Linked DNA regions of Callithrix jacchus. The protein of the gene in region 4 interacts with the protein of the main gene of each other region in a pairwise test. Links are inferred from orthologs where the notes say so. Each region holds a gene or a part of one and is shown on either strand. Other genes may lie near its edges.

Region 1 (4,049 bases), on a different chromosome or scaffold from region 4:
TTCTCTGTTCATGCTCCCATGTATTGCCCACATAACTCTCAAAGCTGGACCTATTCCTGTCATCTTTGAGAGTTCTGTAGTGAGCTGGTACATAGTCCCATCGTTTCTGAAACTTCCACCAGCTAAGGAAGCATGAGAGCTTTTGAAACGGCTGTGTCGCTCCATATGAAACACAACACTAATGGCTGAAATGACACTCAATTCAGAGGCTGCTCTACCTCCCCGAACACGCGGATCTACTACACGACCACATGTATCGCGCTGGGTCTGCCAGCCTTTTTAGTGGCAGTTCTCTACTGTTGACACATTTGGCCTGTGGTTCCCAATGACTGCCGGCCAATTGAACTCCATCCTGTTTGCACGTTCCCACTTGTTGAAACAGTACAAGGCTGTCATTGTTTCATCAAGCATTTGTGAATGGCCTTTGTGTGAAAAGCACAGTGCTGGAGTTGCTTTTTTTTAAGGGACCAGTTTTAAGGGACCACCTGTGCATAATCATATACATCTGTTTATTTGCATGTTTGTGTGTATGTGTAACCACGTTTCTCTGAGCTTTGTAAAACATACCTGGAATCATGTACCCTCTTATTCCCTTAGTCTTCTGTGTGCCCCAGGCCCATGTCATCTGGCATAGATTACCAGTGCTACATAATGCAGCACTGCAGGGGATCTCTGTCATGGGAAATGACCACAGGAGACATGACCCAGCATGTTATTCTTCATGGAGTGCTTTGTGAAAGACCATGACTCTTGTAGCACCAGGCCAAGCTCTTTTTTAAGCTAAACGTTACTTAGGCAAAGAGATGCGTGTGTGTTTATGTGGCTGTGGCTGTATGTGCAAGTGTGTGGTTGTGTGTGTGCAAGTGTGTGTGTGTGTGTGTGTGTGTCAGGAGACTATAGAAGAAAGAATGGAAAGAATGAGATTATAGGTCTGAGGTGATATGGATAGAATCTGATTGCTCAGCTGTAAGGAATGGAGGGTGTGAACATGATTCACAGAGGAAACAGCAGGCGGTGGAACCCTGTACAGCTGGTCCCTGCTGGCCTATTTACTCAGGGGATAGACTGAATCTCATTTGGAGAAATACTCAGAGTTGCAGAAGAGAAAAAAACACCCTGAAGAGTAAGAAGTGCCTTGGGGAATTGAGGATGAGGACAGTGGACGTCCTGGTTAAACTAAATGCCCCTGACATGCCATCTACACCAACCATCCTCTGCAGCTCTGGCAGCATGCTACCAGGCACGGATCATTATTTAGTTTAAAAAAAAAAAGCAACTCTCTGCAGGATCCAATTACGTTCTTGGTTGGACACTTGAGCATTTGTTCTAAGGAGGATACACAGAGCCCAGGGCACAAGAGGGAGGAGGCAGTGGGCCTGATGCAAAGAGCCTGGGTTCACATCTCCACTCGGGGGAAATCCCTGAACCTCTTGATGATTCGGTTTCCTCACCTGCAAAACGAGCACAGTGACCGTACCTACCGTTCAGGGTTGCTATAAGTGTTAAAGATTATTTCAAAAATGCCCCTAGCACCAAGGGACTCAGTCAGCAGTAACTCTTTTGAAAATTCATGAGAGGGCTACAAGTTTTAGTAGGGTATTTACTGCAGCTGCGATCATCACCCCCCAACTGATGATCAGTTAGATAATCATTTCTTAATTCTCTAAACAAGATAAACAACAACCGTCTCTCCCACAGATGACATAGTGCAACTGACATTCCTCAAATAACTCAGAGGGTTCTACCTGCAGATGTGATGATTCCACCAGAGACAAGAAGCTTAATCAAACCCTCTGTTAAACTTCAAAGTTTAGGGGATATCATGGTAAATGTCGTATCAGACCGCGAAAATTAAACGAAGTCATGAAAAAGCGGACAAAGTGTCTGTTGTAAACAGAAACAGCTTCTTTTCTCCCAAAGATACTTAATTTTTTCCCCCTTCTTATCTATTTACTGCTGGGAACTGCTGAGCTTAACAAAGTAAACTTGGCTTTACTTATCAGAGCAAGCTCAGGAAGCCCTAAGAGGAGGGGCAACACAAACACTGGAGAATGAAATGTTCAACGAGAAGCCCAGAAGACAGCTTTCCGCCAACAACTCCCGGCTGCGGCGTGATCATTAGGCAGGCTCAGATATTACAGATACAAATGGGCATCTGCACTGTATGTGACTACAAACCCCAGCCATTGCCTGGAAGTCTACGACAAGGCAGGCATTCTAGGGTTCGAAGCGGTTGCTGGGATCTTTGCATTAAGCAATGATACAAAGAATGCACAAAACAGAACGTTACCCTCTTCTGAACTGCTCAAGGAAAATTCCTCACCCAAAATGAGATTAAGGGCCCAGTGCAGATAGGGCAGCCTTTCAATACCATCCAACACAAAATAGCATTTTATTTCATTCAAACCAGAATGGTTTCAGAATTCTTGTGAAAATCCAATATAGGCTGAATTTTCCTTCATACTATATGTAAGGAAAGATTAGCCGAGCAAATTAAAGATGAAAGGAATACTACAGGGACAGAACTTCAATAAACCTTAAGAATTTCAACGTACTGTCTGCAAGCAGATACTCTGGCTGTCCATCACACACACAGTGCATTGCGCACGCCTTACTGCGGGCAACAAGGCTGAATGCAATCGGGTCTCAGCTTACCTGCCAGCTTCAAGTCCAAACACTCCTTCATTCACTAGGCTCCAGTCGTGTTGCTTTCTTTTCCTGTTTTTTGAACCACCGCAGCTCATTCCCACCTCCAGGCCTTTGCACTTGCTCTTCTGTCTGCCAAGAACATTCTACTCTCAAATCTTCACAGGATCAGCTCCTCCTCCTTGTTCAGCTCTTGGCTCAAAGGTTACCCCTTAAAGTTCAATATTCCTCTGACTGTTCAGTTGTTCTCTATCATATCCTCAATTTCTTTTCTTCCTATCACCACCCTCTGGAATTCCGGATGTTCCTCTTTGTATAGTTACGTAATCACAGAACACCTCCACGAGACATTAAGGTCTGTGAGTGCTGGGGCTCTCCTTGTCACCACTCTAGCCTCAGGGTCAGGAGCAGGGTTTGGAAATCAAGTAGACTCCCAAAAATATTTATTAAAGGAAATTAATTACAAAATATCTAACATATCTGTTAAAGAATTTTCTTTTTCTTTTTCTTTTTTTTTTGAAACAGGGTTTCACTCTGTTGCCCAGACTGGAGTACAGTGGAGCAATCTCGGCTCACTGCAACCTCCACCTCCCAGGTCAAGTGATTCTCTTGCCTCAGCCTCCCGAGAACCTGGGACTACAGGCACGTGCCGCTATGCCCTGCTGATTTTTGTATTTTTAGTAAACAGGGGGTTTCACTATGTTGGCCAGGGTGGTCTCAAACTCCTGACCTTGGGTGATCTGCCCACCTTGGCCTCACAATGTGTTGGGATTATAGGCATAAGCCACTGTGCCCAGCCCTGTTAAAGAAATTTCTGAAAGACCTCTACCTAGAAACAATGTGAGGATATCCACATTATGTACTAGTGATTAACAAAACATCCTACTTTCCTAAACTTTATATTTCAGACTTTTCCCTAGTTTGAACTAGTGAGCTCTCTACCTTTCCATTATATATCTCCTCTATTCCATGTTATTTATCTAAACAGAGTAAAACTATCAAACTCTCTACACATATGATAAACTAAAATCAACATGCTGCTGATAGTTTTCTTTCCTTAGCATCACTGAGAAGCAGCAGAACATACTCCTGAAAAAAACCTCAGTCCCCAGGCTAATGTGGAGGGAGAAGCTCGATGGTGACTTGAACTCTCCCAACCCACGTAATCCTCCAGCATCTACAGGCTATTTGGGCCTTTGTCAATCACACACAAAGCTAGGAAAATACAGCCTGGGGATTCGATCTCCCTCCTACTTCCCTCCCTACCAGCCAATATTCCCCAGATCCAAATGACCAGTGTAGAACTTCTCTTTCCCTGTCTTAAAGAAGCAGTTCATCACATTATTTCCTTTTTAATTTCTGTACATTTAGAGATAAAGATATTTCTAAAGCAAGAAATGAGA
Region 2 (3,983 bases), on a different chromosome or scaffold from region 4:
CCTCTTTCTCTGGTGATTGTACTGCGGTTGAAGAATCCTGGCCATGTTCCTTCTCCAGACCATTGTGACTGGGTAATGATGAGCTGTCCCCTGGAGGTGTTGACTGTTGTTCAGCTGCAAGCTGTTCAGAGTGATTAGCCTCCATCTTGGGAGTAGTATCTAGAGGTAAGCACAGTTAGGCTTTATGTAGCGAACCTAGTTGCTGCATATCAATGCTACATTTCAATGGCAGGGATATCCCCCAAGTGAATACCAACTAATTATGCTTTCTACCATAGAGTGAATGTCCTTTCACAAACCATTCATGTTACAATTATTAAAGTAGAAACAGTGGAAGTTCTTTTACCAAGTCAAGTTATACTACTGGCATATTTTTGGTTTTGATCTTCAATTTTCAGTGGTATTCCTTATTATTCACATTGAGAAATTAATTCATTCTGTTGTTTTTTTGTGACCATATTTTGTCATTTTGCCTACACTAGCCAGTTTGCATTATAATTTTCCTTTATAATTCTATAGATTAATAATCACTGGAGACACATGACTGCATATATTTAAAATATTTAAATCTAAAATGGCATTAGTTTTCTTTCAAAGTTAAAATATTTAATAGAAGACCCATTGAATTTATTTAAACGATTCATAACATCTGTAAGCTCTATTTGATCCATAATTCAATATTCTGCTTAGTATGAATATTTTGATGTAAATGCATTATTACACTGGAAACAAGAGTGCTTTCTCACTTTTCTGGCATTTTCTTTTTCAGAAAAGCAACACGAATACTTTTTCTGAGGTTAGAACTGGCATCATTTTTGGAATAAGACAGAGAATAAGGGAAGACATAAATAAATAAACCAAGTAGTCTGTAAACATGGGCTAGGCATGGGGGCTCATGTCTGTCATCCCAGCACTTTGGGAGGCCGAGATAGGTGGATCACTTGAGGCCAGGAGACCTGCCTGGCCAACATGGTGAAACCCCGTCTCTACTAAAAGTACAAATATTAGCTGGGTGTGGTGGCAGGCACTGGTATACCCAGCTTGGGAGGCTGAGGCATGAGAATTGCTTGAACCTGGGAAGTAGAGGTTGTAGTGAGCCAAGACTGCGACAGTGCACTCCAGCCTGGGCAAGACAGAGCAAGATTTCATCTCAAAAAAAAAAAAAAGAGGAAGAAAGAAAAATAGAAAAGAAACATGGTGATGCTTATACCAACAATTCCTTAAACTTCTATAATACTCTTTTATTGCAATATATAAACCAACTTTTAAAAAGAAAAAGCAGATTACAATTTTCTCTAAGTCAGGAAGCTCTAGAAAAACAATAATTGTTAAGAAGTAGCAATGTTTCATAAACAAGGAGGAAACCAACTGGAGAAATAATTCAACTAATAATGGCTCTTAGGAAAGGGTTAGAGATGGAAGTGAGTCAGAGATTCCAGGGTTTCTGACTATTATGACTTCTAGGGTTGCAATAGATTTGGTTTAGCCCTTTAAGTTATGGTGCATTTTATTTGTAAATAATATTTAGCAATAACGCTGCCAATTAGCAACATAAAAATATGGCAAGATCCTCATAACTCACAGATTTTGCTGTTGTGGTAACATGAAAGTGAAAACAAAAACATACAGTTTTACAAACTGCACAGCTTCCTTTTCCTGTTCTCAGGGCAGTAGATGTCAATCAAATGCTCGGACACCAACAAGAACAGAAAACTCAACACAGAGACGTTGCCACCGACTCGTGATGCTCACCAAGCACTCATAACTTGGAGGAAGTACTTTTTCCTTTCACTGATTTGAATTCACCAACTTGATTACCAAATAATGCAGCACACAGTTTCATTATCTTCGTCACTGGGATTTTCTCACCCTGACCTCTGCTTGTTGATTGCGCTCATCTATATATAACTTATCCCCCGCCCCAACCCCAAACTCAGAGAAAGACACATGGCACCTGCTGTCCAGCCAGAAGCTATTTTAAGCTCTTCTAAAATGAGTCATGGCATTTAGCACTTCATCCTTGAAAATCAAGAGAATAATTTTTCAATCAAATTGAAAACAGTAAACATTTACTGGCTTAAATCCGCACGTGGGTTTTAATGCTCAGGAGACTACCATGGGAAGAAATAAAATCTCATGTAAAACAAACTTCAAAATAATTAATTGAAAGTAGACTGTCCATAGGAGTTTCACTTTGGTTAGTCTAAATCCAAGTGGTTGTTTGTATTTGATTCATTCTTTATCAGATGCCACAGTCATTAATGTTTTTAATTCTTAACTCCAGGGCTACTCTTTAAACTCCTGTTCCACATTTACTTTAAAACAGAATAGTCAGTATAAACCCCGGGACAACTCAATTTCTACAAGTAGCCTCAAGACAAGTTCATAAGAGGGGAAAAAAACAACATAGTCAAAGAACTTTGTTACTTTCAAATCATTAGTTTTATATTATGTAGCAAAGAAATTATTTCTAATTTTTTTCTTAAATAAACTTAATTGCCTTATTTTCCCCTCCCCAGGGAGAGAACTTTTCACTTGTGTTGGCTATTCCAGATGACTATCACAGACACATCCCGCCCTGAGGAACACACTTTATTTATAAATACAACAATGAAAAGTTCTCCAACAGTTCACTGACAATCTCAAAGTTGCAAGTTCTGAACACCACAAACCGCACACTACGTCTTCTCACAGGGCTTGGGGGAGTGTTTGTCATACTTACCAGAAGGCAAGGAGCTAAGCAAGAAGAGAGAGGAGAGGAAAGAGGCAGGAAAAAGCAAGTCAGAGCTGCAGCAACAGCAGGAGGGGCGGGCTGGTGGTGTTCTTACAAGGGAGAGAGAAACCCGATACACACACACACACACACACACACATGCACACACACAAACACACGCACGCCACAGGCACTGATGGAGGCAGCAGTCTGGAGGAGGTGGGGGTAGGGAAAGGCACATCGTATGACACAGCAAGGGGAAAATACACCCAAGCTTCCCTAGCTGTCGCCAGGGGAAACGTCTTAGCAGAGAGAAGCAGCTGGTAGAGCTCATCGGACTCTCCATGTTGTTTGTCTCTTTGGAAATTTAAGCTCTGAGTATATCACCCCCTTTGCGAATGCAATCTTTCACCATTATCCTTTTGGGTAGAGATCAGTTTTTCTTACTTCTTGGTTTATCTGCAGAGTGGTGGATGATTCATCTTTTTTCTTCTGCTGCTTCTTGCGCTAGCTTAATTAGTGTCAGGTTTCTTATAGGAATCATGGAAAAAGAAAAACAATGGCATCAGCACAGGGAGGTGGTGGAACCATTTTAATTATGATGTCATTGTTTGGTTTGTCTGCAAAGTTTGAAATAAAAATGTAGATGGTGATTTTGGAACTGAACTAAGTATAATCTTCATGCATGCTGTAATTGGTGTGACCTCGCAGCCGTCTTTCCCAGGTAACTGTGTTCAAACAAACCCGTAGGGAAGCAGTCTGCTTTTTCTTCCTTAGTTTGTGGCTTTCCCCGGCTTTGTAAATTCTCAAAATGCTTCTTGATCCCCCTCAGAAAAAGAACCTCTTTCTGATTCACCATGAAATGCCTCTCTGTTAATTTCCATCCATTCCTCTTTTCTTTTTCTTTCTGAGCTTGTGTTCTCATACTTCCAAAGCAGATTCCTCCATCAGTTTCTGCTCTGGGGACAGGCTGGACATAGTGGCATCCCTTGTGGTAAGCAGAATAATGCCACACAAAAGATCTGTCCCATTCCCTGGAACCTGAGTATGTTACTTTACATGACAAAAGAGGCTTTGCAGATGTGATTAAGGACCCTGATGTAGGGAGATTATCTTGAACTATCTGGGTGGGCTCAGTGTAATCACAAGGGTCTTTATAAATGAGCGAGGAAGGCAGTAGGATTGCAGGCGAAAAAAAGAGATTTGATGACCTCAGCGTAGGTCAGGAAGCTTCTAGAAGCTGGGAAAGGCAAGGAAACAGATTCTAGAG
Region 3 (4,114 bases), on a different chromosome or scaffold from region 4:
GCAACCTCCAATTCCCGGGTTCAAGCAATTCTCCTGCCTCAGCTTCCCAAGTAGCTGGGACTACAGGTGCACGCCAGCACACCCAGCTAATTTTTGTATTTTTAGTAGAGCCGGGGTTTGGCCAGGTTGGCCAGGATGGTCTTGATCTCTTAACCTCGTGATCTGCCCGCCTCAGCCTCCCAAAGTGCAGGGATTACAGGCGTGAGCTACCGTGCCCGGCAAAAGTTCTCTATTTCTATGTACTTATTTATTTATTTATTTAGAGATGGAGTCTTGCTTTGTCTATTTATTTATTTAGAGATGGAGTCTCCCTTTGTCACCGGGCTGGAGTGAAGTGGCATGATCTCGGCTCACTGCAATGTCCACCTCCCAGGTTCAAGCTGTTCTCCTGCCTCAGCCTCCCGAGTAGCTGGGACTACAGCGCCACCACACCCAGCTAATTTTTGTATTTTTAGTAGAGACGGCGTTTCACTATGTTGGCTAGGATGGTCTCAAACTCCTGACCTCGTGATTTGCCCGCCTCAGCCTCCTAAAGTGCTGGGATTACAGGTGTGAGGCATTGTTCCCGGCCCTCTCTCAATTTCTCCATATTCTTCAAAATGAAAAGGGAATCCAGAAACTTGAGGAAACTGAAAAGACTTCTCTTCCTATCTCAGAAAAGTAGTGCTTTTAAAATGTTGACTCTTCTATAGTCAAACACAGGAGATATGGGGAAAAAAGACTGTTAATAGCAACCACCAGTCAGAAGGCAGAGAAGGCCATGCCATGTCGCACATCTCTTACACTGCTTCCTGATACAAGTTTTCCTATTGATTCTGATTATAATCTTAGGATGTCAAAATTTAATGATCTCACTATGGAAAATCCCAGAGAATAGCAGTCAGCACAACCAGAGAGCTCACTAGACCAGGAAGGAAAACGAATCAGCTGGCAGGAAGTGGTGCTTACCTAAAGACATAGAACATCTTTAACAGTAATATTAACACTGTAAATCCACAGCACTTTAATCTGAAGTTATCTTTGCATTCCTATTATTTTAATAAATATTACTAAAAGCTGATTTCCACCCTATTCTCCATATGTCTAATAGGATCCTTAATAAAATAAGACTTGCTGGGGCATGGTGGCTAACACCTGAAATCCCAACACTTTGAGAGGCCAAGGTAAGAGGATCACTTGAGGCCAGGAGTTACAGACTAGCCCTGGCAACATTGTGAGTGAGACTTTGTCTCTATTTCATTAAAAAAAGAAAAAATTAAGGCTCTTATCTAGCCACTATTGACCCACATTTCTCTCTTGCTTAAAAATAAATAAATAAATAAATAAAGTCTGCTGGACACAGTGGCCCACACCTGTAATCCCAGCACTTTGGGAGGCTGAGGTGGGCGGATCACAAGGTCAGGAGTTCGAGACCAGCCTGGCCAATATGGTGAAACCTCGTCTCTACTGAAAATACAAAAATGTGCCAGGCATGGTGGCGCGCATCTGTAGTCCCAGCTATCCAGAAGGCTAAGGCAGGAGAATCGCTTGAGGCTGCAGTGAGCTGAGATCACACCACTGCACTCCAGCCTGGACAACAGAGACACTCCGTCTCAAAAAAAAATCACGAGTTCAAAAGATGATCTCACAAGGAAAAAACCTGAATCCACTAGAAAAGGTAGCACGTGGGGCACAACCAAACATGAATTTCATCACCAAGTAGACTGTGGCTGGCAGAAATCTTAAATTCACGACTGAAATACACACTCTACTTTATACTTCTCAGGACTCTCCCCAAAATAAACTGAAACAGTAAACCAATAGATTGATGGATGGGTAATTTGCTAAAAGTCTCAACATACACCAAAAAAGGGGTGGGGGGTAGTCTGAGGAGGTCTGCTCTCCAGCGAAACAACTGAAGAATGAAAGAATTTAGTACATTTGCACAAGAAGAGCATTACAATGCAAGGAAGGAAGAAGTCACTTGGGGTTGGACAAATCCTTAGAAAATGCCAAAGGAATAACCCTGATTCTGTGGTCGCCTTGTATTAATTCCTAGTGGGAAAGGGCCAACTCAAGATAAAGTAAGGTCAGGCTTGAGAATTGTCCTCACTTTTCTTACCTAACCCTCTCGGCAAGAAGCCACAAACTCACACCAGAATCCTTCGGGTAATTGTCCAGCTAGGGGAACAAGGGAAGGGGCCATCCTCAAGCAAGCAACCACCTGTGCGTGGTGGAGACCACTGAGAGGGAGTTCTGATTAGAGTGGGAAGCAGCTCTGGGGATGAACCTCCGAGACCAGGGCCGACACTGACTTATCTCCCAACTCCACTGCGGGTTACGCCCAATCTTCGGCCACCTTCCAGCTGAGGTCACCCCTCCTGAAACCTCCGCCCCCAGACCCCGGTCTACACCCACATCCAGCCGTCCCCAAAGCTCGCTGTTCTCTCCTCTGCCTGACAGCTGCTCTGCAGCCACCAGGCAGCCCCAGTTTTCCCCGCCTGGCTTCCCCAAACCAGTCTTCCGGCCTCGGTGGCGCCCCAGGCCCGCGGGATTAGGGATTAGGATCTGGAAGGGTTTGGTCCAATCCCCTTTCCCTCTCAGCGTCCTGGGCTCACCTCCCCGGCAGCTTAGCGCTCCTCTTCCAAAACTGCTTGCTGTTCTCAGCGGCCATTGCTCTGGCCGGGGGAAGGCCTTGTAGGCGGGCCAGGGGGGTTGCCTGGAGAGATGCCCCCAGACCCCGCAATCTGAGGGCCAACCCAGGCCGCTTCCCCGCTGCCGGTCACCCACTCCCAGCTCCTGGGGACGCCATCTTGGATTTGGGCACCCCTCCACCCAGCGCCGCTGCCATTGGTGGGCTGCGCAAGCCGTGGCCGGGCCGGCCAATCAGAAGCCGGAATCCTGCAAGCCACTGAAGCCAACGGGTAACGTCAGGGGCAGGGCATACAGGTGGACGGGGAAGGCGGAGCTTGAAGGAGCAGAGAGGCGGGGCTCAAAGTTCCTGCCCTCGAGAGGAAAGAAGCAGGTAAAGTAAGGGACCTAAGGAATGGAAGAGAGGGGATTATTTTCTTCGTGAGGAATGAATTTCCTGAATCTAATATTTTTTGGCAAGGGCGAGATGTATTTATGTATAGGAATCTTTAACCTAAAAGTAAGGGCCCATGTGTTGATTGTGTTCCATTTTTAACATCTCTCAACTCAGGGACACTCTGGTTATTTACCCTCCCCTTCCTCGTTCCGTTTAGATGTCCGTTCGTTTTTCTGAAGGAAGGTCATCAGGGATCCGATAGCCCGGGGTTGCTAACGGTTCAGCACGTGAGCAACAGTTCATCAGAGTCTCCCTCTCGCTCTGTTTATTGAAAACGATGGAAGGAATTGTGCTGTGGGTGAAAAATTCAAATTATCTAATCCCGATGTCAATTCATAACTCTCACTTTCTGACTATGCTAACAGTGTATAGGAAATGGTTTATGATAGCCGTCCAACTCAGATTACCAAGTACCATTTCTCTGAAGGACACAGTATAGCTCCATCGTGTGAATCACAAAGTTAAGGATACATCTCCTCCTCACCCACCAACATCCTTAATTTCCCTTGTTAATCTATTATAAATCTTGCATCCTTGGATTTATTTTCAATCTAATTTTCACAATGAGATTTAATATTAGCATTTAAAATATCTTGTCGGTGTTTTTTACTGTTTTTGAGTTTCTATGGTTGTATTCCGTGGTGATTTGGGGAGAGAAAGCAGGCACCAGTCTAGAGTGGTTTTTGTCCCATTCAAGGACTGTTGAGGTGGGCTGCGTGTCCCCCACCCCCTCACCCACCCCCCATTCACAGCTACCACATGTAAGTCCAAATATTGGAGAATACTTGAAGACCTGATCCCATGGGTCCTTCCACACATTGGAGAATGCTTAAGGACCTGAACCCTGGCCCCAGCCAAAGAAGGACCTTCTTTATATGTCCTCCAGCTCCCAGTCACCCCTCTATTCTTTTAATCATTTTACCTGCCTTTCTCTGGCGCTTCTTTTTCTTAAGATGCAGTGACCCACTGCACACAAAACCCAAAGAGGAATGTACTAAGGCTTTGTTAAGGTGGATGTTTTGTCTGTATTCTGGACAGCCAGAACTT
Region 4 (4,064 bases):
AACAATATGAAACAGAAATAATCTTTAATCTTATTTAAGCCACTGTTTTTGGAGTCTGTTTGTTATAAGAGCTTAGACTGTAATATACTTACTTTTCTTAGTTGTAAAATAAGAGTAATACCTGACTGGGCTGTTGTAAGAAGGAGTATGCAGTAGGAGCTAAAAAGTGATAGGAATGATTATTGTCCAAACTTTGCAGCTTTCCTTCAGCCTGACATCAAAGTCATGGTCTGGGCAGAATCTCTGAAAGTGAGACACCTGAAGTGGTTGTGGTTAGTGCCAAAGTCAGTCACAGTCAAGATGAGGCACTATACAACTACCTCTTCATCCTCTCATCTCCCAAACTCTATGTTCAGCCAGTGGTCAGTTGACTAGTGAAATAACAGGAAAAGAAAACTGTGATGCTGGTAGCAGGTAAACAGTTAGGACAGATATTTGTAAACAGGAATTTGATTTTCTACAATGACAAATGCTATACAAATTTTATTCCTCATCTCTTCGTGAAACTTTTGGTAAAATATTTACTTCTTGTTGATGTTTTTATGGAGTTGGATCTATTCTGAGGCTATGTTTAAGTGTTGAGTTCAGCCTTAATGGACAAGAATAGAGGGAAACTTGAGATACTCAATGCAGCAAAAAAAGGAACAAGCTGGCGAAGAGGCTGCATTGTGGTAATATAAGAGCACATAAGGCCTGCCTTGGTATCCATCACCCTTAGACATCAGACAGTCACTAAAAGTTGGAAAACTGATTTTTGAGTGCAGATCTGTAGTGTCAAAATCAGAAAGACTCACATTATAATCCTTGATTACAGTCACTTGGTATTTCCTCTCATCCGCCTCACCGAAAACAATTGGCATATCCTTCTATTAACAGTAAATTCCAAAATTCATGTGTTCTCAGGAAGTTTTTGGCATAGTTAAGTATGCACTTATTTAAACAGAAATTTCCCAGCACTTACCCCATTGTATTATGGGCTTGGTTCTCCATGTCAAGAAACTGCTACATCTGGTTTATATTTCTTGATTTTTAACCTGTTGGAGGAAAATGACACAAATTCCTAAAATGTTTATATTCATTAACCTATAAAACATAAAAATGTTCCTACTGCAAAAACCACTTAGTATGAGTTTTTCTGTATAGTAGTAGCTCTTGGTCCTAAAAAATATAGAAACTTGAATTTGTTTTGTGGAGTTTTTTGTTTGTTTGTTTTTTGAGAACGTGTCTCGCTCTGTCGCCCAGGCTGGAGTGCAGTGGCGTAATCTTTGCTCACTGCAACCTCCTCCTGGGTTCAAGCAATTCTCCTGCCTCAGCCTCCTGAATAGCTGGAATTAAAGGCGCACGCCACCACACCCGGCTAATTTTAGGGACGTTAGTACTTGCCTAAAGTTAAAATTTTTAAAAAAGTTTTTCACGGTAACAAAATTTTAGCTAAAAAATATTCTATGACGATAATTGGAGAAAGTATTGAAAACTCCTCTGAATCACTGAATAAAAGTTAATTAAAAAGGATTCAAGGGAGTAGAAAGAGGAGGAAGATTCAGACTCACAACACTTCCAAATCGAAGAGTTTAAGCGAGACCCAGGAATTGTGTGCGGGGCAGACTGGAGACGAGCAGGGATGGTGAAAAAAAAACTTGACCAGAACGAGCAGACGAATAAATGGTTTTGTAGGTTCTCAAATCCCTCACTTAAACGTCAGGGAAACTGAGGCACAGACAAGTTAAGTGACTTGCCCAAGGCCACACGACTAGAGCCCAGGCCTTCTAACCTAGGGCGCAGCTCTGCTCTGCATTTCCAAGGGCGGGCCTCCCCTCCCAGCCTCTGTTTCCCCGCCACGCGCCCCGACGGGACCCGCGCTCAGTTCAAGCCCAGCCTCCTGCAGAGCAGCCGCCCTTTTCGGGGCCCCCCTGTCCCGCTGGATATCCCGCGCCAGCCCGGCTGAAGGGAGAGGGTGAGGTTCAAGGGCGAGGAAGGGCCGGGGAAGCTCAGAGCCATTACCTGCGCTGCACCGCACCGCGCCGCGCTTGCCCGAGAGGTCTGAGGCCCGGGGCGCAGGACCGCGTAGGTCACCTCCCGCCCGGCCAGGCCCGCCCCAAGGGGGCCCGCCACCCGCCGCCGAGCTCCCGCCGCCTAGGCCCTCCAGCCGCGCGGCCCTCTAGGCTGTTGGGGCTCTCCCTCCCAGCGCGCCGCGCCGCCGCTGGTTGCCATGGGGACGTCGCGGGCAAACTCGCGGCTGTCGGGGTGGGGGAAGGGCGAGGCGGCGGCGGACGCGGCCCTTGCGGGGGCTCCTCGGCTGCCTCCAACCTCGCCCCGCGCCAGCGCGACCTCGCTATCCCGCAGTTATGTGTCCAGTGTCCCCTGTATTCTGGGATTTTCTTCTTTGTAGTCCCACTGCTACCCCAGGGCCCAGCACCCAGCTGCAGCCCGAAATACTTGTTGACTTAATGAAACAAGGCGATCACAAAGGTACTGTAGACCGCTGGGGAGTTGTCAGCCAGGTTCTTTAAATCCCCTTGGCCCTCTTTCCTCTTACTCAAATTTGAAGTGGTATGAAAAAGAAACGTGGGGTAAAGAGAACTGATTTCCTTTCCGTTCACCCGACTGTCTTCCAGCTGGGAGGAGCTGGATTTCACTGCTCAGTCCCTGGTTTCTGTGGTGACTCCAGCTTGTACCTGGCTTTCCCGTCACCTATGATGGGTTCTTAGAAAACTGCCAGTCAGGCGAGCGGGACAGTGTTGCCTCCCTTCAGGGAGAAGGGAATGAATGGCTTCTAAGTGGAGAAGCTGGAACGAAACTCAGTGGGACTGATTCCAAATTCCTTCCTTTTCCCACCAAATTCCAAGAGTCATTGATGACAAATTTCTCTCTTCATTTCATAGAGGAAATGATAGGAAAGAATATATGTTTTCCAACTGACACCTTGAGTGATCTGTTTTAAGCACTTGAATTTTGTGTTTGATTTATTTTAGCCACAGAAGTCCTTCCTAATACATGGAGTTGACTACTTTTTATTCTTAAAGTCTTTTATTTGCACTCTACTTTCATCACTTTAACGCTCATTTTCTACTTTAATATTCTATCAATTTAATGCTCACCCACATCCCTCCACCCAGGTTCCCTCTGGATTTTATAAAACCATTATGCTGTTTCTTGACAAATTGAGCTTCACAGATGAATAGAGTAACCTGGGATATTAGTTCTAATAAGTGTTTCATAGCTCTCATGTTTGCATGAAGAGAGTGATCATGCCATTTTAACCTGAAACTTTTCATTATTCTGAAAACTCTTAGTTATATTTTTTATTCTTGTCTGAATTGACTGGGTCAATGTATTTTTTCTAACCCAAGGAAGGGAAAATGGAACAAGGAATGAAATTTAGTGAAATCTCAGATGCCCAAGATCACTAAGGCTATGTAACATTGGTAAGTACCTCCATGTTCATTATTACTTTAGAGGTTCAGAAATACCCTATACACTTAGCAAGTGTGTCAGATGTTATTAATAGCTCCTTTCAGAAGATTAGAAAACCCAGGCTTAGAGAGAATGAAGGATATGTCCATGGATTTGTCCATCTACTTGCACTTGAAATGGATGATTCATTGAGACATGAACCTAGATCATCTTACTCCAAATCCAGTGTTCTCCAAACATTAAGATTGAGTTGGTTTCTTTAGCAGCCAGGATCTTCCTTAGTAAACCGTAGGTTTCATGTTTTTACACAGAAGAGAGGTGCAGGGGAAGGCTTGTGAAAACGTGTGATAAGACACATGCTATAATGGATTTTAGGAAAATTTAAATATAGAATAGGAACACCCCATTCAATTGAATACAAATAAAGGTTTTCATTTCAGGATGAGAGTTAAGATTTTAAATGCAAATACCTGTCCCCTACCCTACTAGTAAGAAGTAACTGTGAAGACTTGAATTAACCCTGAAATGTCTTTATTATTAGATATTTTCAGGTAAGTTTGTTTTGAAAGGGATGAGAACAGGAAGGCCCCAGTCTAAAGGACAGGACGAGTGTGGCCAGGTGCAAAGCTTTCTAAACAGGGCTAGTGAGA

What was found.
Region 1: the proteins of DEUP1 (region 4) and ESRRG interact in binary tests that used the Homo sapiens proteins (3 or more experiments, as listed by UniProt). The two-hybrid records come from large-scale screens. The link is inferred for Callithrix jacchus from reciprocal best matches to the Homo sapiens genes DEUP1 and ESRRG.
Region 2: the proteins of DEUP1 (region 4) and TXLNB interact in binary tests that used the Homo sapiens proteins (3 or more experiments, as listed by UniProt). The two-hybrid records come from large-scale screens. The link is inferred for Callithrix jacchus from reciprocal best matches to the Homo sapiens genes DEUP1 and TXLNB.
Region 3: the proteins of DEUP1 (region 4) and TBC1D22B interact in binary tests that used the Homo sapiens proteins (3 or more experiments, as listed by UniProt). The link is inferred for Callithrix jacchus from reciprocal best matches to the Homo sapiens genes DEUP1 and TBC1D22B.

Annotation. Positions count from the first base shown.
Region 1 is NC_133520.1:12,250,467-12,254,515, reverse strand, and holds the start of ESRRG (estrogen-related receptor gamma), read right to left. Parts: upstream 2,801-4,049; 5' UTR 2,745-2,800; coding exon 2,656-2,744; intron 1-2,655. UniProt on the Homo sapiens protein: Orphan receptor that acts as a transcription activator in the absence of bound ligand. Binds specifically to an estrogen response element and activates reporter genes controlled by estrogen response elements.
Region 2 is NC_133505.1:146,070,098-146,074,080, forward strand, and holds the start of TXLNB (beta-taxilin), read right to left. Parts: upstream 2,801-3,983; 5' UTR 2,723-2,800; intron 1,880-2,722; exon of another isoform or gene 1,753-1,879; intron 160-1,752; exon of another isoform or gene 146-159; coding exon 1-145. UniProt on the Homo sapiens protein: Promotes motor nerve regeneration. May be involved in intracellular vesicle traffic.
Region 3 is NC_133505.1:45,599,866-45,603,979, reverse strand, and holds the start of TBC1D22B (TBC1 domain family member 22B), read right to left. Parts: upstream 2,801-4,114; 5' UTR 2,654-2,800; coding exon 2,598-2,653; intron 1-2,597. UniProt on the Homo sapiens protein: May act as a GTPase-activating protein for Rab family protein(s).
Region 4 is NC_133511.1:46,998,574-47,002,637, forward strand, and holds the start of DEUP1 (deuterosome assembly protein 1), read right to left. Parts: upstream 2,801-4,064; 5' UTR 2,676-2,800; intron 2,470-2,675; exon of another isoform or gene 2,258-2,469; intron 2,203-2,257; exon of another isoform or gene 2,002-2,202; intron 1,035-2,001; 5' UTR 991-1,034; coding exon 962-990; intron 1-961. UniProt on the Homo sapiens protein: Key structural component of the deuterosome, a structure that promotes de novo centriole amplification in multiciliated cells.